Linked DNA regions of Coturnix japonica. The protein of the gene in region 1 interacts with the protein of each later gene in a pairwise test. Links are inferred from orthologs where the notes say so. Each region holds a gene or a part of one and is shown in the gene's direction. Other genes may lie near its edges. The genes, in order: PSMC6, SDCBP, CRK, C23H1orf216 and PSMD9.

Region 1 (6,284 bases):
ATGTCACCATGACTTGGAGGCTGCTCCTGTTTCTTGCACTCACACCTTGGCCCAGCCCCTCACCACTCTGCACTGCCACACGTTTTGCAAAGTCGTGAAAACTCAGATGAGCAGCACAGCAATGAACATTTCCACTGGCCTAACCCAGCTCCATCTAACAAAACAAACAGCACCGATCTGCCAGTCCAGTTACCCAACGTGAAGCTGTTGCAAAATTAACGAAGGCTCATCGATGAAAATAGCAAACCCCAAAGCATTCATTAGTCTGCGTTTCCTGGAAGCCTGGCAGCCCCTGAGCAAGGCTGGGCCATGCCTCAGTTGCTCTAGAAATGGCCTCCAAAACACCTGTAGAACCTTCAGCTGGCACTGCTCGGAGCTGTGCTGCCCCATGGCTGGAGGTCCCTAGGCCTGGATGGGCCCTGGGGGCACCCAGCCCAAGGCAGGGGTAGGGTTGAATGGCCTTGAAGGTCCCTTCCAACCCAACCCATTCTGTGATTCTGTGTAACTTTTGTACCAGGCCTGAACTTCCAAGGTTGAGCAACCAAACGAAGCCAGAACCAAGCCAGCACAATGTCACCCTGTAAAGAGCTCAGGGTGAAGCACTATAAGCACCTTCCTGAGGGGGTGATGCCTTCACACCCCTTCCTTCCTCCCAAAACACCGTGTCTTCAGCCTGCAAGAATTCAAGTGGTTCTTTCAGATGAAGCACAACATCAGCAGGTCCCACACGTGTGCCATGTGCTTCCTGGCACCTGAATCACTGAGCTCAGCAGCAGCGATGGGTTCTGCTCCACCCAGGCGGGGTGCGGGAGCCCAACATGGCATGGGACAGGCAGGGCAGGGCCTGCACAGCACAGAGAGATGCAACGGAGCCGCCGGGACAGACGCACACCCCAATGGCTCCAGCTGCTGAGCAAGCAGCCAGGGAGCTGCTGTGCTGGCTCTATGCAATGCCACAGCACTGATGCATCCTCCATGGGTGCGTACCATGGGTTGGAGCATCACCATGCGTGGACTCGGCATCATCCTTAGGTTTGGCCTTTGCTTCATTCTCCTTTGTCTCCATCCCAGGCTGCACCAGTGAGCTTCATGTCTTCCCAGTTCACTCAGCATCACACAGTGCTCCTGGGCAGTGGATTTAGGGCTTTCTTTTCTCCTGACCCATACACCACCACTTATTGCACAGCTAGGCAGGAAAGAGGGCAGACTCCTTTCTGCACCTCCCACCTACAGCTAGAACAGAGCACAGGAATACTACAGTGGGTTTGTATCACCTCCAAGCAGCTCCTAGAAGACAATCAGCAGCTCCAGCTTCATGCAGAGGGTGGTGACGCACTGGAACAGGTTGCCCAAGGAGGCTGTGGATGCCCCATCCCTGCAGGCATTCAAGGCCAGGCTGGATGTGGCTCTGGGCAGCCTGGGCTGCTGGTTGGTGACCCACAACAGCAGCGCTTTGAGCAGCGAGGGCTGCTCGTATCACAGCGCTCCTGACTCAGCCTGACGAGGCAAAACCTCAGCAGGGAATGCACAGCGATAAAGCATTGCCCAGCGCACCGGGCAGCCCCTATCAGCCCGTATCAGCCCCTATCAGCACGGCTTTTAGCTGCCGCTTCCATCGCGAGCCGCCCACAAGGTAAAGGCACAGCCAAGCGCTCGGCTGCGCGTTTTCTTTCCCCACTCCCGACTTGTGATTCACGTTCCAGCACTGAGTGTAACGCAGCCGCTTCCTGGAAGGAGAGTGACCACGGAGCGATGTGTCCGGCAGTGCGAAGTGAAGCGAGCGGCAACGCACGGCCCGGCACGGAACACTGCGACCGCTGGAAGGGAAACCCGGCTGGGGCTGCCCCACACAACGAGTGCTGCCCACACAACGACTGGTGCCCCACATAAACGAGTGCTGCCCACACAACGGGGGCTGCCCCACACAACGGGGTCTGTCCCCCCACGCCCCGCATCCCACCTTGCAGAAGCACCGTCTCTCGGCCGATCCCTGCTCCCCGCGGTGCAGTGCAGGCAGCAGCAGGGCGGCGAATCCCAACGCCCGCAGCATCGCTCCGCCCGCCGCCATCGCAGCCGCCGCCGCCGGAATGATCCGCGCCGCCCCGCTCCGCTCCGCCCCGTTCCGGCCCGGGGGTGCGGCCGGCAGTGCCCGCAGCCCGGCATGGGGCCGCCCTCAGCTGCGGGTGTCGGTGTGACGGCGCTCAGCGCTGCCCGCACCGCCATAACCGTGGAAAACAGGAGGCGTTACTTTCGGAGCGACCCTCCCCTCACAGAGCCGCCCCGCTGCCTTGCGCTGCCCCTCCGTGCCTCCAGGGGGCGCTGTCTCTCGCCGCTGGTGCCGGAGGGGCGGTCGTGGCGGCGGCGCGGGGCGGCCCCAGGCGGCCATGGCCCTTCCCGGCATTCCCTATGAGCGGCGGCTGCTCATCATGGCGGACCCGAGAGACAAGGCGCTGCAGGATTACCGCAAGAAGCTGCTGGAGCACAAGGAGATCGACGGGCGCCTCAAGGAGCGTGAGTGGCGGCCCCGGCACACACGCCGTGCGGTGTCTGACGGCTCCGAGCCGAGCCGTGGGGCCGCCGCGTCGGGCCGCGTCCAGCGCTTCGTCATGGGCCCGGCCCGGCACGGCAGGCAGCGGCCGCAGTGAGGGGGGAGGGAGGGGCTGGGAATGAGGGCAGAGAGATGGGAACGGGAGGACGGGAATGGGCGAGGGAGAGAGAGAGAGAGAGAGAGAGAGAGAGAAGGGGTTGTGTGCTCACAGCACTGCGGGGCTGTGGGTGACACAGCACTGGAGCTGCCCGCGGCTCATGATGGGGCCCTGGGCAGCCTGAGCTGGGGGAGCTGTCCCTGCCCTCCAGCTGGGGGATAGTTAAGGTTCCTTTCAACCCTCCTTCTGTGGCTCTGGTCACAAACTCACTCTGAGATCCTGTAGTTGCTGAGCAGGAAGGTGACTTGGCAGGTGTGCACGGCTTCCACCTGCTGCTTTCCTGCGTGTCTGGAAGTTACCAAAACCTGTGTTTCTCTTTCTTTGTCCAGTAAGGGAGCAGCTGAAGGAGCTCACCAAGCAATATGAGAAGTCAGAAAATGATCTCAAGGCCTTGCAGAGCGTTGGGCAGGTATGTAAGAGGCAAAGTCATAACAGCTTATGGCTGTGGCTGCTGAGCTTGCCTGGAAGTAGCTGGAGCAACTTGCCCAGCAGTTGTTTAGTTCATTTGATTACAAAGCAAAAGTAAGAGGGAATAGTGCAGCAAACAGGAGGGGGAGGACCTTACCACCAGGAGCTGTCATACCATGCACATCAGGTTTTCTTTGGTTGTCCTGGCTAATAGAAATTGTTAAAAGAACTTAAAGATCTAAGTGAAACTTAAAGCAGGAGAATGAATTTCAAAGCCATCTTTAGAGCATACTTAAAGCTTGCTTTAAATGACCTTTGGCAAGGGTTAGTTAATCTGTAGGCTGATACTGTGTTTGTTCCTTTGCAGATCGTTGGTGAGGTGCTTAAACAGCTCACAGAAGAGAAATGTAAGTACACCGACCTGCTCTGAGGTTCTGTAAATAAGCTTTTGCAGTTGAAGTTCATCTAAAAGAATCAGAGCTTCAACGAGCTGAGTATTGGCAGGAAAACAAGATATCCTGGATAGTCCAGAGGTGTGATTTGGGGCTGTGAATCAAATTAACTTATTGTTTTCTGTGATGTTTTTTCTTTAGTCATCGTGAAGGCTACGAATGGACCAAGATACGTGGTTGGCTGTCGCCGTCAGGTACCTGATTTATATGACTATTCAGAAGGAGGTTGCTTTGGTCTTGATTATTAACATGGCTTTTCATAGGCTGAGTTCTGAACAGCATAAAGCATTTTCTTCTTTAAGCTGTATGTGCCTGTTTTATACAGGTGTTTGCTTGCTCTCTGCCTTTCTGTCTGGCAATAACATATCTTCTTAGTAAAGATAAAGTAATTCTAAGTGCTCCTGGAGCTTTGCATGTATTTATCCCTTTCACTTATTTGAAGCTCAGTATTTCTGCTGGATCTTAAACTCTGAAAAGAAATGATCATACCTTCAAGCTGTGAAGAATCTGCCTTTCCATGCTGCAAACACAGCGTATGACAGTAATGGTCCTCTGCTGAGCTTTAGATCTAGTGCTCTGTAACTATGTACTTATATCTTTTTCTAATACTTTTTGTGCTCCATTTCAATAAGTAATTACAGTAGGCAGCACCCAGTGAACACTTTGAAAGCTTTGCCTTTAATAATTTAAAGCATCTTGGTGCTTCTAGTTTGCAGGACAACAGCACTTCATAAGTACACCATAAAAGCTGCCATAGTAATGTGGAACCTTACTTACAAAACAACCCATCCTCTGATACAGCCAGAACCGGCTTAGAGGTGCTTTTTACTATCTGGTTTTGTACAGAAGGGTACAAAAGTGTAAGTGATGTGTTGCAGAGCTGCTGGTTGGTGAATTGAACAATGAATGCCACTCATTTACAGTAATTAGACACTACAGATCATGAGTTGTTTATGAAGCCTCATATTACTGAGGAACCACAGAACTCAGAGAAACTATTTGTCAACACAGAGTCATTCTGGGGAGTGAGAGTGAATCTTCAGTCCCATTTTGTTTGGCTCATCCCTGAGTTTCACGCATAGGAACAAAGAAGCACATGTATGAAAAATATGAGACTGTAAGGTATCCTCTGGATAGAATTATGACAGTGAGGGAGGATCACCAATCCTGAGGAGGCAGCAGATTTTACATAGTTGTTTTAATGCATTAAATAAATGCAAGTACTTCTTAGTAGCTGTGACCTCTCTGTTCATCTTGAACTGTTTTGTGTGCTGTAGGGAGAAGGAACTGCAGCTGTGCTTTAACACCTCATGGTTGTAGCACATTCCCTTCTATAATGGAAGTAACCTTTTGGAAGGAAAACTGATCCTGCAGATCGTTCTGCTGAAAGAAAATGTTTGCAGAGGTCTCACAGTGCTCGGATTCTCTCTGAATTAAGGATACTTATGTCTCAGAAAAATGTTTTGTTTCTTCTCATGAACTGAAGCCTCATCATAGAAGCTGAATGTATGACTGAACCAACCGTTTAGATGATTCATATGTAATGGACTGTAGGAGGAGTTGAGGTGACCAAGAAGTGACAGACTGGGCAGCCTATTGTTGGAATGAACTAAATATTCTTCTGAGACAAGTCTCCTTAATTCCACTGAGACACGAGGTGGGTTTGATGTCTTAGTCTGGAGGTCCTTTGTTGCAGCAGAGAGACATGCTCAGGATTAGGCTGTAGCTGGATGAGTCTGACCTTGCAGTGCGTACTTAGCAGTTTATTCTTGTGCAAAAAGCACTCTTTGATCTTAAAAGATCTTTGATTTGGTAGGAGAGACCAAAAAAGACTGTGAGAGGTGCCTTGATGTTTTGGCATTTTGAAAACTTTCAGGGAGCTTTAAGGAATAGCTTTTGATCCAGGCCCTCATGGCTGGGCTGTGCTGCTGAGGAAGGAGAGCCATAGGGTGTAAATGAAAACAGTATTACTTCCCTATCTGAAGTGTGCTTTAGAGGGGATTCAAGGTCAAGTGGTTTCTTTTTCTCTTCTCCCTGCAGAATAACTTAAATCTATTGGGCAGTGTGGAATCTGATATGATTTCAAGCTCCTACTTATTTCTTATGGTTAGGCAGCTGAAGAGAGGTCTTATCAGTGACTCCACTCAGGGAGGAGTGACAGCTTGATCCTAAAGCTACCAGGGTAGCCCATGTGGGCATGAGACCTAAATCTCCCTGCAAGGGAGCTGGGAAGCTTGTAAACGGCTGTAGAAATCCCCATTGTTCAGGTGACCTGTTGGTAAAGCTCAGAGTGAATAGGTTTTATATTCCTCAAACGTAGATTGAGCACCTCTTTAAAAACAAAGGGATGAAAACAGCAACAAGGTGATCCCCTTCAAGGGGGGGAATGAGACTGCTGTCCTGGATGAGATTGCCCAGAAACAGGGTGAGAAATGCACGTGAGTGGTTTTAATCCCAGCAGAAATTAGCAGGGGATACTACAGAGTGCTGGGACAGGGCTGCTGATAGCAGGCTTTATTTAAACTCTTACATGTGGAACAGGCAGTTGGGTAGGGCATCTGAGGTGTGAGTGATAGCAGGGAAACAGCAACGACTGGAGCAGCTGACTTTGAAGAAGAGGTATAATTGTGTATGTAAAGATGAACAAAGGCTTGGAGAAAACAGGCCAGGAACATCTGTGCTCCCTTTCTGGCAGTTCAGAAATGAGGAAGCCATTGAG
Region 2 (5,550 bases), on another chromosome or scaffold:
CATCCAGTGAGATTTGGAGAAGGAAGCTGGCAGGGCAACTCATTGGGAGCTGTGACACACCCGAGGGTTTGCAAGTTTCCAGTTGGGAAGGGAGGTGGCCTTGAGTGGTGGTGAAGTAGCAGGGTCAGCTTCTGGAGGGGTTTCTTTGGTGCCTGGAGAGCCAATATGAAAGTATGAGGAGCAATTTTGAGGTGATAGCCTGTGATGGGTGTTACTGGTGATCGCTATGCAGGGTGAGAGTGGACTGTAGGGAGATGGCCCAGCTGGAAGTGGGATGATATGGAATGATGGCCAGAACCAGAGACCCATCAGATGCTACAATGGGCTCTGAGTGCAGTCTGTGCTGCTGTGAATACGATGCTCTGTGTAGCTTTACTGCAGATAGAACTCTAAAATAAACAAGGGGAGATTTAAGTTAGATGATAGGGAAGAAATTTGTCTCTCTGAGGGCAGTGAGGTACGGCTGCCCAAAGAAGCTGTGATTTCCCCATCCCTGGAGGCACTCAAGGTCAGGTGGGATGGATGTCCTTGTCTGCTCCTGCCCACTGCAGGGGAATGGAACTGTATGATCTTTAATATCTCTTCCAGTCTAAGCCATTCTATGCTTTTAGCAGCAGAACGAGGTGGCTGGGGACTGCTTACCTGAGCGTGCGTTGTGCTAGGCTTTGGCTTGCATATGCTGTTCTTTTTGATGGAGCAAAAGCATTTGCATTGATGGCATTCAGGTCAATGCTGCATTAAAATGAAGTTTTACACTGTCGTTAAATGCATCTGTTTAATTTTTAATGTTTCTGGGTCTCAATTCTATTTCGTTTGTTTGCAATGACCTGACAAAAACTATCAGTTGCAAATAATGCTAAACGCGTGGCCACTTCTGTTGGGGTAGTTTAGATCTTTGTCCCGCTTTGGGCTCCCTTTGGAAATGTTAATTGTAGTGTGACATGATACTGGAGCTGCTGGGCGCTCTGCTGAGCAAGTAGAAAAGCAGTTGATGTCATTAATGTTATGTGAAGAGACATCTATTATGTTACTGCAGCAATTAATCATCTTTAGTTTGTTTAAATCAACCCAGCGTCTGCGTGTAAAGAAGCAGCAGCTCAAGGATTTATGTTTAGGTTGGATATTAGGAAGAACTTCTTTACAGAAAGGGTAGTTAGGTACTGGAATAGGCTCCCCAGGGAGGTGGTTGAATCACCATCCCTGGTTGTGTTTAAGAGCTGTTTGGATGTGGTGCTCAGGGATATGATTTAGTGAAGGGTTGTTAGAGTTCGGGTACTGGTTAGGCTGCGGTTGGATTTGATGATCTTCAAGGTCTTTTCCAACCTGGGTAATTCTATGTAGTGGTCTCTTTCAGTCTTGCACAAATCAGGACCTCTAACTTATCTTTGGATGGGAGAATTAATCTCCCAACCAGAAGCATTTCATAGTGCCTCTGTTAACTGCGTTCATGTTTTCTGTGCCACGTTTTAATTTTCAAAGCTTTATCATGTTCTTACGTTCTGTTTCTATCCTTTCCTGTGGTGAACTGCCTTAACTACTCTTCTGCAACATTCTGTTGACCTCGGTGAGAATCTGAGCAAAGGATTTCTCAAAAGTGGAATTTTCTAAAGCCTCTGTGGCTCAGATCACACAGGGCTACGTGCCTTCCAAGATCACGCGAAGTGTTTTTATTTCAGTGCTTCCTGTTATGCTGTCACAGGGCTCTCTCCTCATCACATGAGGGAGGCAGGCTGAAGTCTGTGGATTTCAAAACCCACTGCTGACTAGGTCTGGGTGGTTCGTGGTCTGTTGCTTCTCTTTAATATGGTACAAATGGACGCAGGAAGCCAGTTCTCTCGAGTGACTTGACCTCATTGCAGCCTTTCAATACCTGAAGGGAACTTACACCCAGGAGGGGAGTAAACTCTTTGAAAGGGCTGACAATAGCAGGACTAGGGGAAATGGTTTTAAGTTAAAAGAGGGAAGATTTAGGTTGGATGTTAGGGGGAAGTTCTTCACTAGGAGAGTGGTTAGGCCCTGGAACAGGCTGCCCAGGGAGGTTGTGGATGCCCCGTCCTTGGAGGTGTTCAAGACCAGGTTGGACGGGACCCTGGGCAACCTGATCTAGTAAAGGTGTATGTTTGGTGGCCCTGCCAGGCAGGGGGGTTGGAACTACATGATCCTTGAGGTCCCTTCCAACCCGGGTCATTCTGTGAGTGACTTCTTGATAGGAGTGTTAGAAATGATAAAAGCCTTTAGATAGTGTGAAAACTTCTGGACTGTTTTCCTCAGTTGCATGTGAATTACTGTCCTACTTGGGAGATGGAATATAATTAGGTTTCCATCTTAATCCTCATCATTGTTGCAATACTTCCTGTGAAGCTGTTCTCTGTGCAGGCTTTCTCATGGCTGCAACATTTAACAGCACCGAGTAAGCAAAGCCTATTATACATAGGCTAATAGTGATAACAGATGAAACTGTTAGTCTTAATGAAATTTGTCTTCAGTGCTTTGTATCTGTAGTGCTAAAGTTTACAGGTCGCGACTTGCTTATTTAGTGCTTTGTCTGCTTTCTCTTTCGTTTCTGTTTTAAGCTGTAATGCTAGGCAAGTACTGGATGGCTAACCCTTCCTTTTTCTTTTTCCAACCCAGTGAGGCTGCATCAACATGTCTCTCTATCCTTCCCTAGAAGATCTGAAGGTGGACAAAGTTATTCAGGTATGGCAGGCTTTCATAAAGTTGGTTTTGGTAACAGTAATGATCCTGTTTCTGTTTAAGACGGGGAGGGGAGAACTGCTACTATATTATGTATTTTACAGTCTCTGAAAAGGAAAAGGTAAAGTGCGTCAGTCTCACCTGCATTTCTCTGTGTGGGGAAGGACCTTTGGAACTGTAGGCAGTGTTGGGATTTCTTTGTTCAGCTCCATGTGCCCTGCATTATCCTGAGGTGAAGATACAGTCAGGTGACAGTAAACTTTGATTTAAAAACAAAACCCAACCCTGCCTGCAGCTGATTATATTATATGCTCCCTCAGCCTTTTAATGACCAGCTGCCAGTGTTTAAACACTATAACTAAAAACTCTTCACTGTTTAACTTTTGCAACCAATGTGGTAATGGAAATAGGGTATTTCTCTGCTAGTACTGAAGGATGCACTGTGTCCTCAGCAATTCAGTATGATTAAAAGGAAAACTGGAGTGTGTGGCGGGGGAGGGAATTGTAAAAAACAAAACAAAACCCTGTTCTTACTGTACAGAGTTTGAGTTGGAGACTAAATAATGAGTCACTTTTGCTCTGAAACTTCTTAAACGTAACTTCCTGGAGAGAACAGGACTATGAAATCTTCTATTTTTAAGCATTATTTCCTTAAAAAACACTCAGTAATTCGGTCAGCGTGTTGAATTTGGTGATTTATGCGTCCTGTTTGGCACTGTGTTTCGCTGTTCTGAAACTTAACCACACCTTTTACTTTTAACATCAGTAGCAATGTTAAGGTGGCTGTTTCTGTCCTGCATAATAGTAGGACTCTGTAAGGTAATGTTTTCAACTGTTTGTGGATGCTAAAGGCTAAGAAAGAAGCAGCTCTGATACCGTGAGAAGAAAGGGAATTGGCTTACTTTAAAAGTCTCTTCTATTTGCTTAATGACAAAACTGGAACTGATGCTGATGGTGAAGCCTTCCTGTGTTATTAGCATAGCTCTGTCTCTGAGGAAGGTATGACTTCTTGTTGAAGCGGTATGATAACACTGCCGCGTATTGTGTTAAATACTTCAAAGAAAATGATTGACTTCAGTGCTTGAAGAGTAGTGGTAATTAGCACATTAAGAAGAATACTTGGTCTACTGGCTATGTAACAAAGATCTCTTATACAAGAAAGACCTATAGTAACATGTGTGAGTTTCCATCCCTTTAGGCTCAGACTGCCTTCTCTTCAAACCCAGCTAATCCAGCAATCTTGTCTGAAGCTTCTGGTCCTGTTCCTCATGATGGAGGTAAGGTCATGTGCTGCATAGTATGCTCATGTTGTTGGGACCCTTTGATCTCTCCTTGATTTTCACCTCAGCCACTTGCATATACTTACTTGTCACATGTTTGTAAACTTCAGACTGCAGCATGAATCTGAGCATCATGGAATCATGGAATTATTCAGGTTGGAAAAGACCTCAAGGATCATCAAATCCAACCTCAGCCTAACCATAGTACCCTAACAACCCTCTGCTAAATCATATCTCTGAGCACTGCATCCAAATGGCTCTTAAACACATCCAGGGATGGTGACTCAACCACCTCCCTGGGGAACCTATTCCACTGCATCTTTCCTCTGGAGCATATGAACTTGCTTGGAAACAAGCAGACACAAATCTGTTAATAGAGAAGTGCCCAGAAACATGGAACTTCAACAATATTGTGCTTTCTGCAGCTTTTGGGGTAAAAACATATGTTGGAAAACACAATGGGCCTGAAGATGTCAGTCTCATTTCACCTTTTTATCCCCATGCTGATGTGCACCCACAAAGATGCACAGATATGCCTGAAAATCTGTAACTAGCATGACCAGCTACAGTGCTGGAAGAGCAGTCAAGAATGCTGATAGAGCAGGTACTAAGGCTTGGTGGGTGCACCTTTGTCTCCAGTTTCACACTTGGAGCTGGTGTGATCTAAGCAATTTTAAGGCTGGAATTTATTTAGCTCATCAGAGACCCACCTTAGATCCGGGAAGGTGAATTGGACCAGAAGGAACTGAAGATCTTACCTGAGCTGGCATCATCAGATCAGATGGAAATTTGCATTATTAATCCCTTTTTAGTAGCATCCTTTCTGATGCTTGGCGTTTGTATTCCACTGCAACTTCTGTGCCTTTCATATTGCTTATCAAATGATGTATTTTGACATCAGCTTGTCTGCACATTCTTTGGATGTTGTGTATGGCTGAGAAATCATAGAAACATAGAACGGTCTGGGTTGAAAAGGATATCAGTGATCATCCAATTTCAATCCCCCTGCTATGTGCAGGGTCGCCAACCACCAGACCAGGCTGCCCAGAGCCACATCCAGCCTGGCCTTGAATGTCTCCTGGGATGGGGCATCCACAGCCTCCTTGGGCAACCTGGTTTACCTATGCCTTGGGACGTAGACAACCATCCCTGCAGGGAAATTATTAGATCACCATTTTGTTGGGACGTATTGACAATTTCTAGGACGTGCCAAACCCACAGGGACTCCCTCAGTCCTGTTGGAGGCAGGAGATTGTAGGTTATAGTTATTGAGAGATGCTGGGTGTTTTGTGTTGTTTGGAGTGCTCTCTCCTATTTTGAATTGGAATGTAATACAGCCAACAAGGTGCATTCTGCAGTGTTATCTTTTGATGAAGAACAAAAGAGAAAAATAAGGTGTTGCCAAAATCACTTACAGCTTTCATTCCTAAGGGCTTGAAATGCAAGCAGAAGGCAGCCACAGAAGGAACAGTCATTAAAGGCTTTACTGATTGGTATCGCTAAACCAATTTTGAAATAATTATTTTTCTTCATATCAAGGGCCATGGTTTCTTTCTCTGTTGGTGTGAGCAGCATG
Region 3 (6,118 bases), on another chromosome or scaffold:
TCTTGATACTTCCCAGCTTTTCATTATGAACTGTGAATTCTTCACAATTAAAGCTGATCTAATTTCATTCTTCTAAGTCTCCATCTCTGTTCTTTTCCACTCAGCGCTCAGGACTGCATCCTCTGCCTATAAAATGTGAACGAAGGAATGCAGGTTGGAGCAGAAAAGCTCCACCTTTATTGCAGCTTTTGTGCTGAAAGGGTGAATCAGTGGTAGTAAACTAGTGAGGAGTGGAGTGTTAATGATGAAACAGGAATCTGGAGAAGGTTCTCAGTCATTATCTAGAGAACTAAAGAAAGGCTGTTAAAAATAATAGAGTGACTGAACAATAAATCTTTCCAGCATAAAAAAAAAGCTTCTTAGAGAGGAAGTATTATTCATTTCCCCATTAGTGACCACCAGAGGGAACTCTTGCAATAATATTCCCAACTGCCAGCAGTTGTGAAAGAAACCTGCTGAAACCATCCAGCTCCTGTTGATGTTCAGCTGGAAACAAGGGAAGATGGGTTACAAAAGGGAAGGAGAAAAAGAACAACAACTCTCAGTCAAAAGGCAGCTTCTCTTCTTTCTTTCTTGGCCTGGCAGGAGTCTAAAAATGATTATTTTTATCATTGCAAGAGACTTCTGGCTTGTTTATTTGAAGACTGTGAAGCACTACCCTGAATGTGGCTGTACTTTCCTGCTGCTGGGATTTAATTCTCAACAAGAATCTCCAGCTTTTTAAATCTATGAAAAACCCGAGCACAGAAGTGTGCTATTTCTGCAGCCATCCTGCAAACTCCATGCGTCACCAGGGAAACTGGCATTCTAGGTTCCAAATAGATCATGACTGGCTCCTACCTACAGTCCATCTGGAGAGAGAACAGGATCAGCGAAGGAAGGATGCTCATTTGTTAAACCATCTGATAAGTCAAACACCTGGTGTTTTCTTATATATTTATAACTGCAGCCTCCCACCTGTAAGATAGAATATTTTTCCATTGGGATACTGTGAAGGTTCATACAAAACACAATACCAAAGCCACTCCATGAGACAGTCACAGGGCTTCCCAATGCCTCACAAGAAAGCAAAGGTGCTGTGAGCCAGCACATGCACTTGCACAGTTAAGGGCAGCTGTGCTCCATGTTTATGCAAGTGCTGCCACATGGAGGCCACACAGTTGAAAATACACATTCCTTTGGGGGAAAAAAAAAAGCTTATAGAATTGAGCAGAGCTGGAATGGAATTGTCTATGCAGTTATCCAGACTCTGAAGATGTTACTCTGGAACTTGAAGCTAATCTAAACTTGGTACCTATTTCTCCATCCTTATAATTCTTAATGGTGCATACACCCACATGCACATTCCCCTGCAGCAGAAATGGAAGTGAAGCAACTTTATCTGCAGGCTCCTGCGGTCAGTGATCTTCTCAGGGTCAGAAACAGCTTGTTTTTCCACAGGGCTCTACTTAACACAGAACATCTCCCTGGGAAGGGTTTTCCAGTGGTTTTCCATGCAAACAGCTGTGAGGCAGGAAAATGCAGCTGGCTGGGAAGGTGAAAGCACCAACTGCAGGTGGCAGCTTCTCTCTGAAGGAAAAAAGACAATGAATTGAATCCTCAATGGAGGGACAGGAAGATGATCAGGGGCTGGAGCACCTCCCCTCTGAGGACAGGCTGAGGGAGTTGGGTTTGTTCAGCCTGGAGAAGAGAAGGTTGCGGGGTGACCTCATTGCAGCCTTTCAATACCTGAAGGGAACCTATAACCAGGAGGGGAGTAAACTCTTGGAAAGGGCTGACAATAGCAGGACACGGGGAAATGGTTTGAAGTTAAAAGAGGGAAGATTTAGGTTGGATGTCAGGGGGAAGTTCTTCACTAGGAGAGTGGTGAGGCCCTGGAACAGGCTGCCCAGGGAGGTTGTGGATGCCCCGTCCTTGGAGGTGTTCAAGGCCAGGTTGGACGGGGCCATGGGCAACCTGATCTAGTAAAGGTGTATGTTTGGTGGCCCTGCCAGGCAGGGGGTTGGAACTACATGATCCTTGAGGTCCCTTCCAACCCGGGTCATTCTGTGATCCTGTGGGTGCCCAGACGGACCCTCCGCACTCACAATCAGGTCTCACCTACAAGGCAGCACACACACAGCTCCCCTCAGACCCTGCGCTCCACCCAACGCGCATGCGCAGCCCCCACAGGCCGCCAACCGTCCCCAAGGCCGCGCGTTGTGATGACGTCACGTATCCCCCCGCGTCTCCCGCGTGCGGTCACTTCCGGTAGGTGAGGTCAGGGTAGGGGCCGCCATTTTGGTGCGGTAGGGCTGGGCGCGGAGCTGGGCACCGCGGGCGGCGGCGGCCCGCGGGGCGGGGGCAGCGAGTGCGGCCTGCGGGCGGGACGGCCCCCATGGCCGGGCAGTTCGACTCCGAGGACCGGGGGAGCTGGTACTGGGGGCGGCTGAGCCGGGCCGAGGCGGTGTCGTTGCTTCAGGGGCAGCGCCACGGGACCTTCCTGGTGCGAGACTCGGGCACCATCCCCGGAGACTTCGTCCTGTCGGTGTCTGAGAGCTCCCGCGTGTCGCACTACATCGTCAACAGCCTGGGGCCGGCGGGAGGACGAAGGGCCGGCGGAGAGGGCCCCGGGACCCCGGGTGAGTGACCCCCAGGGCTGGCCGTGCCCATCAGCCGCTGCGGGCCCCGCTCTGCGCCTGGTCCCTGCAGCTCCGCTCTGCTCACGGCCGGGTCTGAGAGTCGTGGTGGAGTCGTGTTGTGTTGGAGTCGTGTTGCTCTTTGTAGAGGACTTAATTCAATCTCGCCTTGCAGCCGTTTCCCTGCACCTGCCTCGCATCTAAACGATGGGACAGAGCGCAGCCCGGAGCCGTCACACTTTTACAGCTTTATGCCTTCTTTCGTTTTGTTTTAATTTGTGGGTGAGGTGTGTCAGCGTGGAGATGGATCCCTGGAAGTGTCAATTCAAAGGTTGAATTGGGTTGGAATAGTTGAGAGTTAAGAGGACAGATTGTGAGGCTAAACTTAGTCGTGAATCAAAGCTGGGTGGGAGCAGTGTAAAGGCGTTTGTTCCTTTAGATCAGATACGGAATTCAGGGTTCCCCCTCCTACACACACCTTGTGTTGTAAAGGGAGATTTGATGTTATTCCTCATCAACCTCTAATACAAACATAATGTACTTAAGTTAACCCTTGAAGTGTTGCTTTTGCATTGCAGAAAGCAATGATTCTGAACGCACAAGTGACCTGGAGCCTTCAGCAATGTATAATCTATCGATGTGTGATGAGAAGGTTGAATTAAGCAGCAGCCCTGATGGGGGCATTGCTGATGTTGGCGGTGGAGCCGCTCCTGTCTGGATGTTAATGCTCACAGAATGATGTGGGCGAATTGCTGGCATCTCTGAGAAACCACTACAAAGTCTGGAAGGCTGTATAATAAGGCTGTGTAATAGGAGAGCTAATGAACCTGACGAGGAGTGAAGTTAGGACATAGGTTGCTACAGAGACAGAAAGGCTGTGCAGACTGTAGTTGATAAAGAAGGAATCTGTTGGTGGTGGGTGGGTTTGCACCATTCTACAGTGATCTCTCCTGATTGGGGTAACGTTTAGAATTGACAAACTGGGGAAAGCCTGAAGTCATTGGGTTCATCACAGGAATCTGCCGCTGCTGTAAGGTGTGCTTCAGTCACACAAAGCTCTGCAATGCAGGAGATAAAGGTGGCTGCATTGAACTGGAAGCGAAGCGGGTAGTGAAGTGGTTTACCACAAGATACATTCGGTTCCTCAGCGTTTCATGTCTTATCAAGGCAAAGGTTTATTTTCATAGGTTGATGTGTGAAACGTGTGGTTGTTACACAGAGCAGAATAAGCTTCTATGGTGATTTGTAGTGGAGTCCATCCTGAGCTTTATTACTTTTTGGAAGTCCACTTTTTCCCCACCTTGATGTTATTGGAATAGGTGCTGCTTTGCTTTCACACCAAAGGTATTTTTGTGCTGAAATTCAAGTGGGTTTAAATGAATGTCATGCTGATGCTGTGCGCTTTTCACGCTCAAAGGAAGAAAGTGTGTGTGTAGTAAGTTACGTTTAACCTGTAATTAAGAATTTCCTCCAGGGAGAAATGTTCTTTAAAGGAAGGGACGTGCTATTATTGCTATAAGGTTGAAGATGATTTCAGGTTTGGATGGGGAAGGTAGTGCAGTGAAATGAGGTAAATGTTCACAAGTAGCTATTTTGGAAAAACCAACTTTACCATGTCAGTTTTCTATATGGTCTACTTATTTTTATTGCAATTGATTGTTTGACAGATGCACACAACTCACTGGAAAGCCTAAATATGCCCGGTCAGGTTCCTGTGTTGATTTATTGGCTTCAGGTGATTGAAATGCATGTGTGATTTGTGACTGCTTGTACCCTGCTGTGTGCAGGTGACAGTAGGAACCTGACTTTAAACCCATCACGTCTTTGCAGTTTGACATACAAGGATAGGGCCGTGATGTCTGGTGTACACTCAAACATCTAAAGACATCAGGCCAGAAGCCTGAAAGCCTTAACGTTTTTCTTTATGACATAGAGAAGTGTGACAGAGTGGAAGGTGATGTTTTCAGTAAGTATTATGCGTCTTAAGAACGTGCTTATTGCGCTCCATTGTGATTTTCTGAAGGATTCAGGCTGCACTTCCTGGACTCATGTTTTTATAGAGCATTCCTGAGTGCTTGTCTCAGTAGTGAGCAGACAGGCACTGAAGAACAAGGAGAAGAAGGTGTCGGAATGAAGGTGGGGGAAACAGGCAGAAGGTTTTGCCTCTGTTGCAGAGTTGCTCTAGGAGGAAGGCTGTGATATGTTGCTGTGATGTGTTCAGAGTGAGAGCCTCGTGTCTCAGCACCCTGAACACCAAGAACAGCCTTTCTTTCCCCAAATGTGCTTTTGAAGATGGGGGTAGGGGTTTGTGGGGTGTGTCTAGAGATGAAATTGAAAACCTATATTCCTGTTAAGTCTCCCATGCCCTAAAAAGGAAAGCTTACCAAAGCTTAGGGATAAAGAGAAAACTGCCTAGTGGCACGGACGGGATGGGAGTGAAGAGAGAAATGTGAAACCCTTGAGGGTCTGATGAAGCGCAAAGCTGCTCTGTGGTTATGCCACCTGCCCACGCTCCCAAAAAGAATGTTAGATGTTTTATTTAACACCTCTGTGAATGATCTTTTCCACACTGACACAAAGCCAAGCCAGTGTAAAAGTCCTCCGTAGGAAGGCCCGTGTGTCATAGAGATCAGTCAGGGTCCAAATTTTACGCTTAGTTTAATTATGGGCTACTTTGGATTTTAACCCCTTCATCACCCCTTTGAGAGCAGAGATTTCACTATCTGTTTCCAAGTGGATGGAATCACATTAAGTCCTAGCACAGACAGAGCTCGGATGGAGTAGGTAGGAAGATGATACACATCTCTTTCCCTTTCTCATTCTAAGGGGCTGTCTTACAGAGCCGAACAGTCCTGCAGCAAAGGTGTGAGCTGAGCTGCTGTCCTTCCTTTGGCTGTCCAGAGCTGGGGAGGAGGGAAGAGGATTTCTTCAGTTGTCCAACTTTAATAGGAAGTGACTAAAGTTCCTTTAGAAGCCAGTCTTACCTTTGCACACATTCTGCTTTTCCTGAGAGCCCTCGGAAGATGCAGACCATATGCTGCTGGAACTTGTGCCTTCAAGAAAACTGTTCCAGGGTTGTGAAGGAAAACATCTCTGCTTCTCCAGACAAAGAAAACAAACACAGCTCTTTTGCTCTGACTTCCTTATGGTAGATCTTGCCTTAGTTTTTTCCACTGGCCTACAGGTATGAGAAGTGTTGTAATTCAAACAAGAAGCTGAAGAATTCTTCCAAGCCTGAAATCTGTTAATCTATGGGTTTCATTGTAGCAGGGAATGGCAGGACTTGGAAGCTTCTAATGTGTGGAATTATTTCCCTGCTGTTTAAGTGACATCACTCAGCTCTTTGACTTTGTAGTTGAACAAGAGTATACACCAAAGACTTAAACTGATGAGGAGATTACCACCTGCTTGGTAAGGTGTGGTTGTATTTCCAACCTGCCTTTTCCTAATAGCGACTTTCAACTCCTGTCAAGGTGCTTTTAGGAATCTTCCCATTCAAG
Region 4 (6,285 bases), on another chromosome or scaffold:
AACACGACCTGGTGCAGCTTAGAATTGGTTACAGTTATTAATCAAAACAGGGCGGCCGGACCCAAAGCCTTTATTGGATGTTGTGACAAAGGGATAAATGGAAGCATTTCTGGAATGCATCAGATTGGTTTCCAAGAGCAAAAGTTCCAAATCTTGAAGTTTTTTGGGTTTTTTTTTGCATGATGAGACCCAAATGTGGAACCTTCCTATTTCGGGAAGCAGCCCAAGGGGGTCAGGAGGAACAGCTGGGAAAGTCCTGGGGGTGGATGGGGATCAAAGGGGGAAAGAAGGGCAGTGATTGTAAATGGGCACAGACCAACACAGAGCTGCTGGGCAGCCAGCATTGCCTTGGCATAGTCCATGCTGGAGGTGCAGAATGCATTAGTGAGATAACAGCTCCTGTGTTGGGGCTGCAGCCATCGCTGGGTGCTGCCCTTTGGGGACCACACTGTGCCTGCAGCACAGGGAGGTGACAGTGCAGCCCCGGAGCGGCAGTGAGCGCCCGTCCCTCCCACTTCCCTTCAATTTCCCAAACAATTTCCTCATCGGAGCTTTCTGTCTGGAACTTATTAGTGATTCACAGGCCCAGAGGAAATGGTGACTTTGGGGTCCTGCTCTGATGGGAAGGGCCCAAGTTCCCCTATTGTAGCCAAGAAACAGACAGAACAGCTTCAGAACCCCGCTCTGCTCTCCTGGCAGCATCCCCACAACCCAACCTGTGCATTATGAAAGCAGAGATGGAGGAGAGCACGGGGACCCCCCCCAACCCAGACCCCCGGTGCCATTGGGGCAGTGCAGGGTGGAGGTCAGAACTCTGTTTACTTTAATTTCTCGGAGAGCTTTGAGGGAGATTTCCCCCCTCTGTTATTAAACTCAGATGAGCCGCTGGGGAGGTTGGGTCGCATGTGGTTCAGGGCCCTTTTTTTTCCCTTCCTTCTGTACTTTATTTTGTTGTTGTTGCAACATTTGGCTTTTAACTCTTTCAGGACGGCTTCCCCAGGGCCATCTCCATCCACATGGGGGTCCCTGCAGTGGGTGGTGACCCCACAAGGGCCCTGGGTGTCCCCAGCCATACCCACCCCATCCCTATGGCACAGCATGTCCTCTCATGGCCGTGGCCACAGGAGATGGGAATTGATGGGACCCCAACCACATTTCATTGCCTCCTGGTGTTGCAGATTCCAGCCCACACCTCCCCCTGCTCGCAGCCTCCCCAATGCACCACTGCCTGCTGCTCTGCTGGCTCAGGAGCATGCAATGCACACATGGCCGTGCAATGCACAGACACACACACAGTGAGCATGCACTGCAGGTGGCAGCCTGGTCCTGCATGGGGCAAGTGCATGGAGCCAGGAGTTGGGTGAAATGTGATTTAGGGACTTTTGGAGCCACACTGTGCAATGAATGGCCTTCATCTCACCCAGGACATAACTCCGTCCCTTTGAATCCTGCTCTTGCTCTTTTAAAGTAGCTTTTAATTTCCTGAAGGGAGAGCTTTTAATTCATTTCTGGAGCATTGTAGGGGAAGAGGAGGGGAAAATGGCTCTGAAATCCACCACTAAGCTCCCCCAGCCCCGAGCCCTCCCTTCTCTCCTTCCCCCTCCAGCAGTGTCCCCACTCCCCATGTCCCTGTGCCCGGAGCTCCAGCTGACACCATGGCCATGGCATAGGGGTCCTATGGCACAGTGGGGTCCCACCACTGCCCCCCATCACTGCTCAGCATCACTCCCAGCAGTTTTGATGCCCAGGCCATGGGGTTGGCTGCAGCACAGTGAGGCTGTGCAGCCAGGCTGGACATCCAGGCAGAGGGGAGGGTTGGATGCTCACTGTTTCTTTCACCTCGTGCTGTGCAGGGAGGAACCCCAGGGCCCATCTCGGTCCTTATGGGGTTTCTTTGAGGCCAGAGCAGCGCTGATCTCTTGGCCTTCTAGGAGTCAGCAGATCAGATTTAACCCATAGCAGCGCTATTCCCCCATTCCCAGCCTTCTCAATACAGCGGCAGAACGTCTGCCCACAACACCCCAACCCCACAGAGCCTCATTATCCACAGACCGCCCGCGGGGCTCCATGTGACCCCCCCCCCCCCGTGCCCTCCCGTTTGATGCCGCAGACAGACGGCTCCCAGCGGGGGGGGACCGCGAGGGTCCCTTTGGGATCCCACGGACACCGCGACCCGCATCCCACGGGGGGCAGCACCCCACGACCCCAACCCCAACCACCCCAACATCCCCATCCCCTCCCCGGGTGATGCTGAGGCTGCCCGCCTCGCACCGCATCCCAGCCGGGTCCCTCCCTGCAGCCGCCGCCCTCCCTCTGCCCACGGCGGCGGGGACCGCAGCTTCGCTCGGAAGTGCGGCTCCGTGGCACCTCCCCGCGTGGAAACGCTTCCGCTCCCACCGGCGGCGGAGCTGCGAGCGGCCCCGGTGAGTGCGGGCGGCTTTGCGGGGCGGCTCCATCCTTTAGGGGGGGTCCTGAGGGTGGGATCAGCGCCGGTTCCCGCAGCCTCGATCCGTGCGAGCATCCCCATCCCTGCCCCGCACATCCCAACACGAGGCCTTCGGGAACGCCCGGCTGCGGGTCGGCCCCGCACTGCCCGTCCCCGTGCGGTGCGCGATGCGGGGCGGAGGGATGGGGGTCATCCCGCATCGCTACGGAGCTGTGGGGGCTCGGGGAGGTGCCGTGTAGGGCCGGGGGTTGGGCTCGGGGGTCTCCGTGGGCAGCTCCGGGTGTTCCTTGATTGCAGCGCTGCCCCATGGGACCCCCCGACCCACCGGGCTGATCCCTACGGGGCCGATCACGGGGATCCTTCACGTGGTTGTTGTGAGCGCTGGGAGCGCTCTCCGTGCTGATGCTCCGGAGATAAGCACGGTGTTCTCCCTTCCCTCTCTGTCCCATCCGCTCCTTTGGGCACCGCTTCGGGCACCAGCACACAGCAGGAAAGACCTGGGGCAAGGAGAGCCCTTCTGCCTCCATGTGCCGGGGCAAGTGATGGAGGAGGCTGACCCACATCCCCACCGCAGGGATACCCAAATCTCAGCACTACAAACTCCCTTATCCCTGCAAACCCGGGTCCCCCCTTTGATGCGGTGCCGCACTGTGGGCTCATCCCCACGTCTCCTTTGCAGGCAGCACCGCCGAGATGTTCGCCCTGTGCCCCCCCGACGCCCCATTCCCGGGGGTCCCCGCTTTGAGCTCAGCCTTTTCGGGGTCCTTACAACGCAGCCCCGACTCCAACTGCAACTTCGCAGGGGACGATGAGTGCGACAACAACCAGAACTGGAGCCGGGCTGACGGGGGGGGCAAAAACAACACTGCAAATCCCTCCGATAATCTGCTGCTGTTAGCACAGAGACAGATGGCTCCGGGCGGGATGGGGGACGTCGCTTCGAGCTCAGCGTGTGCCCCCCAGCAGGGCGAGCGCAGCCCCCCCGAGGGGGCGGAGGTCGGGGAGGGGGAGTTGGGTGGATCCCCGGCGGAGGATATCGGCTATGCCAGCAGCTCGCTCAGCATTGACAGCCCCGACAGCGCCTGCGGCAGCGCTTGGGATCCCCCCGGGGACCCCCCCGAGGTGTCCGAGCCCCCCCCGGAGCCCCTATTCCCGGCGCTGGCGGAGGCGGTGCAGCAGCTGCAGGAGAAGGAGCGCTTCAAGGAACGGGAGAAGGAGAAGCATCACGTTCAGCTGGTGATGTACCGCCGCCTGGCCCTGCTGCGCTGGATCCACGGCCTGCAGCAGAAGGTGCTGGAGCAGCAGGACCGACTGCAGGAGAGCTTCGATACCATCCTGGACAACCGCAAGGAGCTGATCCGCTGCATGCAGCACGGAGCGCCGTGCCCCGCTGCTGCCCCCAGCCCCTGAGCTGTGCGAGCATTCCACGCTCTGAATCCCGTTCTGCTTCCCCGCAGCTCTCCACCCAAATCAGGGCTGAGTGCTGGCTCTGATGGTGATGTTGGTGCACGGGGTTTGTGTCAGCCCCATGCTGGGCATTGTGGTGCTCACCCTATAGAGCCCATCCCATTAACCACAGAGCTTTAATGCCTTTCTCCTTTCACACCTGATGTGTGCACCCATTGCCCTGCAGTGCAATGTGCTGCTGTGCATTGGGGCACGGTGCCCTGGGTTGTCCCCAGGACTGACCACAGCCCATCAGACACAGCAGCAGAGAGGAGCTGCATTCATGCATTAAGTGCACAGAGAGAGAATCACTCTGAAAAGTGACCTCAGAATGCTCAGAAATACTCATAAAGCATCACCAGGCCCCAAACCCTGCGCTCTTATTTCACAGTTCAGTGTTAGGGAAGAGCTGGTTTTGATTTATTGCTATTTTTTTATTGACCAGGTCATATAGATGCACATCTGCATGCTGGGGGAGCTGTGTTAGCACCATGCATGGCCGCAGAGCTGCTCGCCAAGCTGTGCTCATTGCATTCTATTGTTGTCTTAAAGCAAAGATGCTGTTTGGGTTTTCTTTCCTCATGCCTGTTTTAACCAGCGGGGGCTGCATGGGAAGTATGAAGGACGGCCCTTCTTACATAGAGATTAAAAAGGAGACGCTGTGTTTGTGTGCTGTGCTTTCTCCAGTGCTGCTGTGACCATTGAAGCTGCTGCTGTGATGGGCATTGGGCTGTGCCTTGTCCCTGTGGGAGGCTGAGCACCGCTGGGTTACCCCCTTATTCCCTCTGCTCTCCTGCACCCATCGTGGGCTGCAGCCCCCATTGCCCAGCTCCGTGCTGATGGGATGGAGATAGGAGCACCTGAGCGCTGACCCCGGGGTGACTGTGCCTCGGGCCTCACAGAGATCAAGCAGAGATGAGAAAAAGCCCTTTGAACCTTCCTTCACCCTTCTCCCCCTTCTTGCAGAGCTGTGGGAACTCGAGTAGAGCCCCTTCCAAAGCACTGGGAGCAGCAGAGAAGGGCACTGAGGGGTGGGTAGAAGCCCTTCCATCATCATCATCCCAGACATGGCAGAGCAGCAGCACAAGGAGCAGATGCAGCCCCTTGTTGTGCCCAGGGGTGCATTGATGTGGCTGCAGGGTGCAGCCCTGATGCTGCCAGATCCCCTTCCCCCACCCAGCGCCTCTGTTTGTCTTGGTCGGATGCTTGACACAAATCTTTACATCCAAGGTAAATATTGGGAAAATCCTGATTATTTGCTCAAGAAATGAAAGAATAACTGCTGGCGCGGATCAAAGCGGTGGATGCTCTGTGCTGCCATAGAGGCTTCTCCCAGCGCGGTGCCCCCGGCGCTGCTCTTGGAACCATCCCCATCCCGAGCTGCCCATCCCCAGCCCTGAGATCTGGAGAGGGAAAACAAAGGCATAGAAACCTGCTGGTGACAGTGGGGAGCCATGTCCCAGCTCTGCATCCCATGGGAACACAGCTCCGTGTGGGTCCAGTGGATCTCAGGGGTATCTCTGCATCCCCAGGGGTTCCCATCCCTCAGTATATCATGGGTTGCAGATGGATACAGGGGATCTCGGGGTCTTCCAGCACTGCAGCAAAGCAGATGGGGCCAACCCTGCCCTCCGTGCCCCTCTGCAGGGGTGCAGCCTGACAGGACGGGCTCCCATCTCGGCCCATATCTGATGGGGACGCAGCCTGAGCCGCCTTCTTTAATGATTCCCTTTGAAATGTTGTTGCTTCCGCACATCCCCCTTCAGGGTAGAATATTAAGCAAGAGCAACTCGGCTGGAAATTCAGATTGTTTTCGTGTCTGTTTTCATTTACATTTTAATGATAGAGAAATCTTATAAATCAGGCTATTTGCAGCACGGCTCCTTGAAAGAAAAGGGGGGAAAAGAAATCAACTGCACCAACCCAACCTCTCCCCATTGCAAAGTGTGCCTGGAAGTGGGGGTCACCAATGGCTTCTGCATGAAAGCACTTCTCCTGCTCCTCTTGCTCGCTTCATTCTCCCCTTTCCTTGCCCTATTCCTGCATAGCAGGGCTTTGAGCAGCCAGAAAGCCACTTTATGCACTGCTGAGTGCTGGGGTGGTGCTGGGAGCTGTGCTTGCTTGCACAGGGTGCAGGGAGGGTATGAGGAGGTGCCCATGTTCCACCACTGTTCCACTCAGATGGGGAACAGAACCCGGCCCTCAGTGGGAAAACAGCTGGGAGTAAAGATCACTGGGAGAGAAGCAATAAACTCACCGTTATTCTTCTGCCATTGAGGCCAATCAAGCTGCAAAGAGTGCCCCAAGGCCAGTTGTACATCATTATTTCATAGCGCGTTCCCTCTGTGATGTAGTGGCTGTCTTGCTGCAGGGAACACCTTCGTGGTTTTAAG
Region 5 (6,143 bases), on another chromosome or scaffold:
GACCTGTCCCACTCTGTCCCTTTGGGCCCAGCGTGGAGGTGGCCACCACACGAAGACTCTAATCATGAGGCATCACCCCTGTGACGTGGCCCTGGGGCACTCACCGCTGAGATGATGTCGGAGGTGTTGAGCGCGATGTGCTGCACTCCGGCCCCGCCGTAGTAATCGATGTATTCCTGCAGGGAAACATCTCACTGCAGTGGCTGTTATGGCTGCAGTGCCAGCACCGTCCCATCTCCTTCCCCCAGCCCTGCGGTGGTGGCAGCCCAACTGCTGTGCTCACCTGGATCTGGGATTTCCTCTTGCCATTCGCCGGTTCATTGATGGGCATCTTGATGGTCTCCTCGTAGTTGGTGACCACGATGGAGCGCAGGGCGCTGAACTCGGTGTGCAGCTGCTTGTCGTCCACCGACCAGAAGCGGTGGAAGAGGAGATTCTTCTGGTACCTGCCCACCCACAGCGGCCACGTTGGAGCCCCTGGCACTAATGAACCTCTGCTCTATGCAATTGCCCTTGGCCTCCCCCCAGCCTGCCCTGCTCTCACCAATCTGCCACCGGCACCATCTGCAGGTCGGGCTGGTTCCCCACCACGTGGTCCACGAAGCTCAGCTTGCCGCTCGGCCTGCAGGGACACGGGGCAGCACTCAGACCTGATGGCAGCCGGGGGGTGGGATCCATCCCCATGTTGGGACCCTGTGCTACTCACAGCCTGGGCAGCAGCGGGTCCTTGAAGAGGGGTGCGTGGTACCCAGGCAGGAAGAGCCCTTTGTAGTTGAGCTTCTCCACCAAGGTGTGTGTTGTGTCACCGTACTGCGGAGGGGAGGAAGCGGCTCTGTGCCCACTGCTGCAATGCACAGACCCCACTGCATTTTGGGGGCTCAGCGCCCTCATCACTCACCGTCTGGATGACGGCGAATTTCACCTTCCCAAACTTGTCCTCTTCCACCCAGGGCTCCTTCACCACCACAGCTCCACGTTCCTTGGCTTTCTGAGCAGAGCACAGTGCCCGTCCTGCCACGTGCCCCCGGGGCCCTTCCCATGCCAACATGGGGACGTGCGGCCACGACACCCAGCAGCCCCAGACTCACCATTTCAGGGCACCCGCTGCACCTCACGTGTGCTGCCTACCTGCACGATGAAGTCACAGTCCTCCACCTCGAAGGCCACGTCCTTCACACCATCCCCGTGCTTCACCATGTGCTCACCCATCTCTACCGACAGCCAACGTCAGTATGGGGACACTGCACAGCGCCCATAGCCCCAGCCCCAGACCTACCCTCATTGCCTGGATTGAGCGGCGACGAGAGGACGAAAATGATCTGGGGTGGAAGAGGATGGGAGGAAGGAAGAGTTAGTGATGGGAGGGAGGATCCCACCAGCTCTGCTCAGTGCATCCCAACACACTGCACACCTTGTCCTGCTTGATGACGTGTGACACCACCTCCCTGCTGCCGGTCTCCAGCCCGCGGTACGCCAGCTCCTCGAAGCCCAGCTTGTTGCAGTAGTAGGAGGCAGCCTGCAGCACAGCACGGTGTGTGCATGGCTGTGCGGTGTGTGCGGGGCCATTGTGTGCTCCCAGCACAGCCGTACAGCCCGTTCTGTGTGCGGTGACGCGTTTTTGCTTTTCCTTTGCATTTTTGCCCTGTGTGCACCCCCTGCATCCACCCCCCACCTTGCGCAAGGGCCCAAGGCCGTGGCCCCTGGCCAGGGCTGCTGTCAGCACACACACACACATACATGGCCCCACCATCCCCTGGCAGCCAATGGCCACCGCCGCCAGCCCTGCGGCCCCCTACCTGCTTGGCATTGCCCACCCAGAAGGTGATGGAGTGGAAGTGGATGAAGCGGCCTCGCTGGTGCTAAAGGGAAAGGGAAAAGAAGTTGTACAGTCCCTCCAGATGGAACTCTTCCCAATGCAATTCCTGCAGGTGCACCCAGTGACATGGATGTCACCATGGCCCCCCGCCATGATGATGTTTTGGAGTGTTTTGCATGCAGGCTGTTCTGCACACAGCGTTGGCTCCGGTCACATGGAGCAAAGTGGCTGCAAAACACCCAGTTGTCAGCCTGGAAGTGAGCCCAGGGGCATCTGGTCCTATAGAAACACGCAGTAGGAGGTTTGGGGTTTGGGGTTTAGGGTTTGGGTCACAGAGGAGGAGATGGCAGCTGCAACCCAAACCTGCAGCCTGTCCTCACTAACCCGCAGCGTTAACGATTCACCCGGCAGCAAAGCACCCAGCGCTGCTCCACCGCCACACTGAGAGCACTGCAGGGCAGCCATGGGGCAGCCATGGGGCACAGGACGGGGTGTCCCCCAGCAGGGAACCACTCACCTTTTCCCCTTTGTCCGTGTACGTCGTCTGCAAGAGAAGCGGGACAGGCGGTGAGTGAGCGGGCACTGAGCGCTCAGCGGGGCCGGGGGAAGCGTGTCCCCCATAAACGCTCCGTCCTGTGCCCGCTCACCATGATGTGACCCGCAGTGACAGCAGCACAGAACGCGACCCTGAGCGGGGCTGATTGATATAGAGCACAGCGGGGCTGATATAGAGCACAGCGGGGCTGATATAGAGCACAGCGGCTCCTCCTCCCACACTGCCCGCCCCGGGGGCACTGCCCGGCCATGGGGGCATCACCTCAATCACCTCCATCACCCCCCACATGGACACCCCCCCCCCATCCCCGCCCCCCGTTCTGCCCCCGCCCCCTTTGCTCTCTGTCCCCGCCCCATGTTCTCTCCCCCCGCTGCGTCTCTTCCTGCCGCCGCCATGTCGGATCGCGGTGGTTGCGGCTCCATGACTCTGAGCGAGGTGCAGCAGCTGGTGCGGCGCAAGGACGAGCTGGAGGCGCAGATCCGGGCGTGTTACCAGCTGCTGGACGATGTGAGCGGGGCTCGGGGCCGGGCTCGGGGCTCGGGGCGCTGCCGAGGGTCTCACCGCGGCCTTTCTCCCCTCAGCAAAAGGGCGTGGGCATGGACGGGCCGCTGGTGGACAGCGAGGGATTCCCCAGGGCCGACATCGACCTGTACCAAGTGCGAACAGCCCGGCACAACATCGCGTGTGAGTGGGGACGGGACGGGAGCGGCGTGGGGGACTCCTCAGGATGAGAAAAGGGGCTCGGGATGGACTTAGCGCTGCCTGCAGCCCCTAAGGGATGGTGCGGAGGGTGGGGTCGGCCTCTGCTCCGGGTAACAGCGATAGGACGAGAGGGGGCGGCTGCTCAGGGAGGTTTGGGGGCGTTCAGGAGCTGTGGGATGTACTGAGGGACGTGGGGTGGGTTGTGGGCTGTGTTGGGCCTTTAAGCCATAGCGATGCTGTGATTCTGCTTCTTACTGAGCTGGGTGCCACCCGCAGGTCTGCAGAACGACCACAAGGCGCTGATGAAGCAGGTGGAGGAGGCTCTGCACCAGCTGCACGCCCGCGAGAAGGAGAAACACGCCAGGGATGAGGCGGAGGCGCGAGCTGAGGCCATGAGCCAAAATCTGCCAACTGCCTTTGCCAAAGTCAACGTGGTGACACCAGAGTCACCCGCCAGCATCGCGGTACGTTGCTGGGGCTGCCAGTGGATGGGGATGGCTTCTTTTGTGCTTAAGAAGGGGAAATAGGGGATGTGTTGCTTATTTTCCTCTGCTAACAGGCAGGTATAAGCTGTGAGATACTGATTATTGTTATTATCCCACTCACACTTTCTTCATTCTGTGTTTGTCAAATATTCATTCACCTTCTCAACCAGTGCAGTTATTCTTGAATGTTCCCATGGAGGGAGCTGCCCGTTTGTGGCCGTGTCACTGGTTTGTCCCTGTGAGCTGGTTTGTCCCTGTGTTGGGATCAGAAATTGCATGTTGTCTGCTGCATCGTAGCACCACGCAGCTCTTACAAGGCTTATCTGTTCATTGCAGCCTCATTGTTTTCTCATAAAACAGAGCAGAAAAATGAGTGTGCCCTTGTTTCTAAGGGCATGGTATGATGTTCAGTTGTCTGAATGGTGAGAAGGGTGGTGTCCTAGCACAGCTTGTGCGGCTGGATGAAAGCTCCTGTGAGCAGGCAGTGTTACCTGTCATCACAGAACACAGACGTTCAGCTTCTTTCTGTCTGCCCAGGGTCTGCAGGTTGATGATGAGATTGTGGAGTTTGGTTCTGTCAATGCAAACAACTTCAAGAGCCTGCAGAACATCGCCACAGTAGTACAGCATAGTGAAGGGGTAAGTTTGGTTCTGCTGTAACTGCGTTCTCTTATCTCTCCCAATGAGTTACAGCATTTGCTGTGGAACGGCCAGAGAAGCTACCACAGCCATTGGGCTCTTCATAATGGAAATGAGAGAGCTCATCTTCTTTTTTTGCTTCTCCCAGAGACCTCTGAGTGTGACTGTGATCCGCAATGGCAAGCAAGTGCACCTGGGGCTGACTCCGAAGCGCTGGGCTGGGAAGGGCCTGCTGGGGTAGGCTGCCAGTCGGAGTGGAGGGGGCTCTTATCAGCTCAGGGCACGTCTCCTGCAGGAGGAACCAGCTCTGCTTCGCTCTGTGCTGCTCTGATGTGTCTCACAGGCAGAGTCCAGCTGAGAGCTGGGGTTGTCAATTTGGTACTATACGGGGTGATGAGTTGTATCAGTCATGGGTATGGGGCTGAAGATCTCAGTGGCTCCTTCCTATAGTAGAGGAAACCAATGGAGGAGGGTTGTGGTTGATCTGATTTGTGCTGTGTTGGATCATCTAAGCTTCTTTCGGAACATAGATTTAAATGTTTTCTTCCCCACTCTTCTTTTTCAGCTGCAATATCACTCCATTGCAAAGATGACCACTGCTGGGAAGACAATAAAGATGAAGCTTGTGCCTGCTTTCTGGACTCTGATTTGATTTGAAAGCTTGCCCTGTGACCTTTGTTTTTGCTGAAATGGGTGTTTCAGGGGCTGTGACCTCTGGGTGGCTGAGCTTGCAGGGTCTGAAGAGGTTCTGATGGAGCAGGACCTTAATGCAGTTGGAATTGCGCTGGTTTGTGAGGAGCAACTCACAGAGTTGCAGGAAGTGGCTTCTCATCTCTTTGTGCCTTGCGTCAGTTTGGAGTAAGGCTGCAGTGTAACTTGGATTTCACTTGATACAGATTGGGAAGAACATAAAGTGCTTTTACTTGGTGACAACGTGGCATTCCTTCATTTTTTCCTTGAAATTCCTCATTTGAACATCCTGTAAAGCAGGATACAAAGACCTGGAACAATTTTTCCTTCTTTAACTTAGTAGAACACACTCAAGAAACACACAGATCTGTTACTTTAACTCTCATGTGTTCATAGCTGCTGGAAATCACCAAATAAGAGAGCAATTTTGGAGTACCTAATTATTTTATTATGTTAATTGTTAATTGGGGGGATTGTTCCTGTTTGTAAGGTTGTTTCCAGTTGAACTTTGAAGTATTCATCCCGATGAATAAAGCTGAGTGGTGTCTCTCTCCCTTCTTGTGGAAGTTGCTGTTTGGGGGCTGTAATTGCAGGTAGGTTAAAAGTAGATCTGCAGAGACATGAAATCATTCTTCCCTGACCTTCCACAGCCAGAAATTGGTCTGGTGAAGCAAAGCAGGTTGTAGTTGTAAGCATGTGGATGAATGTTGTACTGCAGCTCTAGTGTGAGACCAGCTGGAGCTGGGCCTTGGCCATGTGTGCTCAGGGTATGTCTGCCTACCCCATGTGTGCAGTATTGCCTGAGCTGCAGGTGGATCTGGGTCTGTGTGCTGGTCCAGAAGAACAGCTCATGGGATGTTCTTCCCAGCCTTTGTGTATGTGCCTCCTGGGATGAAATGCCCTACAAAGTCCTGGCTTTCTCTATTGCTCGTGCAGTGAGGTTAGTGGGTCATCCCAGCACAACGGAGTGCATTAACTCCTGATCTCGGGGTTGTCATTTCCCTGTCACTGTGGGGGATGTCTGCACTGTGACATCCATAGCTCTGTGGGGCTTTGTAGAAGTGCATGTCCTGGCTGTGTGCTCTGTTGCATGTTGCACTGTTCCCGTTGGTGGTAGGACTGGATCAATTCCAGCAAGTGAAAACACAGTTCTGTTGCAAAACCCACCATCTTGCACTCAGTAGACATGGTGTTCTGGGTCTGCCCTGCTTGTTCACCACCCATCGTTCCCAATCCACTTCCCTAGGTCAGATCT

What was found.
Region 2: the proteins of PSMC6 (region 1) and SDCBP interact in binary tests that used the Homo sapiens proteins (3 or more experiments, as listed by UniProt). The two-hybrid records come from large-scale screens. The link is inferred for Coturnix japonica from reciprocal best matches to the Homo sapiens genes PSMC6 and SDCBP.
Region 3: the proteins of PSMC6 (region 1) and CRK interact in binary tests that used the Homo sapiens proteins (3 or more experiments, as listed by UniProt). The two-hybrid records come from large-scale screens. The link is inferred for Coturnix japonica from reciprocal best matches to the Homo sapiens genes PSMC6 and CRK.
Region 4: the proteins of PSMC6 (region 1) and C23H1orf216 interact in binary tests that used the Homo sapiens proteins (3 or more experiments, as listed by UniProt). The two-hybrid records come from large-scale screens. The link is inferred for Coturnix japonica from reciprocal best matches to the Homo sapiens genes PSMC6 and C1orf216.
Region 5: the proteins of PSMC6 (region 1) and PSMD9 interact in binary tests that used the Homo sapiens proteins (3 or more experiments, as listed by UniProt). The two-hybrid records come from large-scale screens. The link is inferred for Coturnix japonica from reciprocal best matches to the Homo sapiens genes PSMC6 and PSMD9.

Annotation. Positions count from the first base shown.
Region 1 is NC_029520.1:52,821,710-52,827,993, forward strand, and holds the start of PSMC6 (26S proteasome regulatory subunit 10B), read left to right. Parts: upstream 1-2,261; 5' UTR 2,262-2,384; coding exon 2,385-2,511; intron 2,512-3,034; coding exon 3,035-3,114; intron 3,115-3,480; coding exon 3,481-3,520; intron 3,521-3,706; coding exon 3,707-3,759; intron 3,760-6,284. Other genes in the region: ERO1A (ERO1-like protein alpha), read right to left, coding at 1,961-2,068. UniProt on the Homo sapiens protein: Component of the 26S proteasome, a multiprotein complex involved in the ATP-dependent degradation of ubiquitinated proteins.
Region 2 is NC_029517.1:101,328,040-101,333,589, forward strand, and holds part of SDCBP (syntenin-1), read left to right. Parts: intron 1-2,631; 5' UTR 2,632-2,646; coding exon 2,647-2,697; intron 2,698-3,892; coding exon 3,893-3,981; intron 3,982-5,550. UniProt on the Homo sapiens protein: Multifunctional adapter protein involved in diverse array of functions including trafficking of transmembrane proteins, neuro and immunomodulation, exosome biogenesis, and tumorigenesis.
Region 3 is NC_029534.1:3,972,327-3,978,444, forward strand, and holds the start of CRK (adapter molecule crk), read left to right. Parts: upstream 1-2,248; 5' UTR 2,249-2,377; coding exon 2,378-2,621; intron 2,622-6,118. UniProt on the Homo sapiens protein: Involved in cell branching and adhesion mediated by BCAR1-CRK-RAPGEF1 signaling and activation of RAP1.
Region 4 is NC_029538.1:3,767,238-3,773,522, forward strand, and holds C23H1orf216 (UPF0500 protein C1orf216 homolog), read left to right. Parts: upstream 1-2,255; 5' UTR 2,256-2,423; intron 2,424-3,125; 5' UTR 3,126-3,139; coding exon 3,140-3,856; 3' UTR 3,857-4,556; downstream 4,557-6,285.
Region 5 is NC_029530.1:4,890,197-4,896,339, forward strand, and holds PSMD9 (26S proteasome non-ATPase regulatory subunit 9), read left to right. Parts: upstream 1-2,724; 5' UTR 2,725-2,726; coding exon 2,727-2,879; intron 2,880-2,953; coding exon 2,954-3,056; intron 3,057-3,350; coding exon 3,351-3,538; intron 3,539-4,096; coding exon 4,097-4,198; intron 4,199-4,346; coding exon 4,347-4,435; intron 4,436-4,763; coding exon 4,764-4,791; coding exon of another isoform or gene 4,792-4,850; 3' UTR 4,851-5,441; downstream 5,442-6,143. Other genes in the region: HPD (4-hydroxyphenylpyruvate dioxygenase), read right to left, coding at 105-176, 284-446, 545-622, 707-810, 899-988, 1,129-1,211, 1,277-1,319, 1,412-1,516 and 3 more. UniProt on the Homo sapiens protein: Acts as a chaperone during the assembly of the 26S proteasome, specifically of the base subcomplex of the PA700/19S regulatory complex (RC).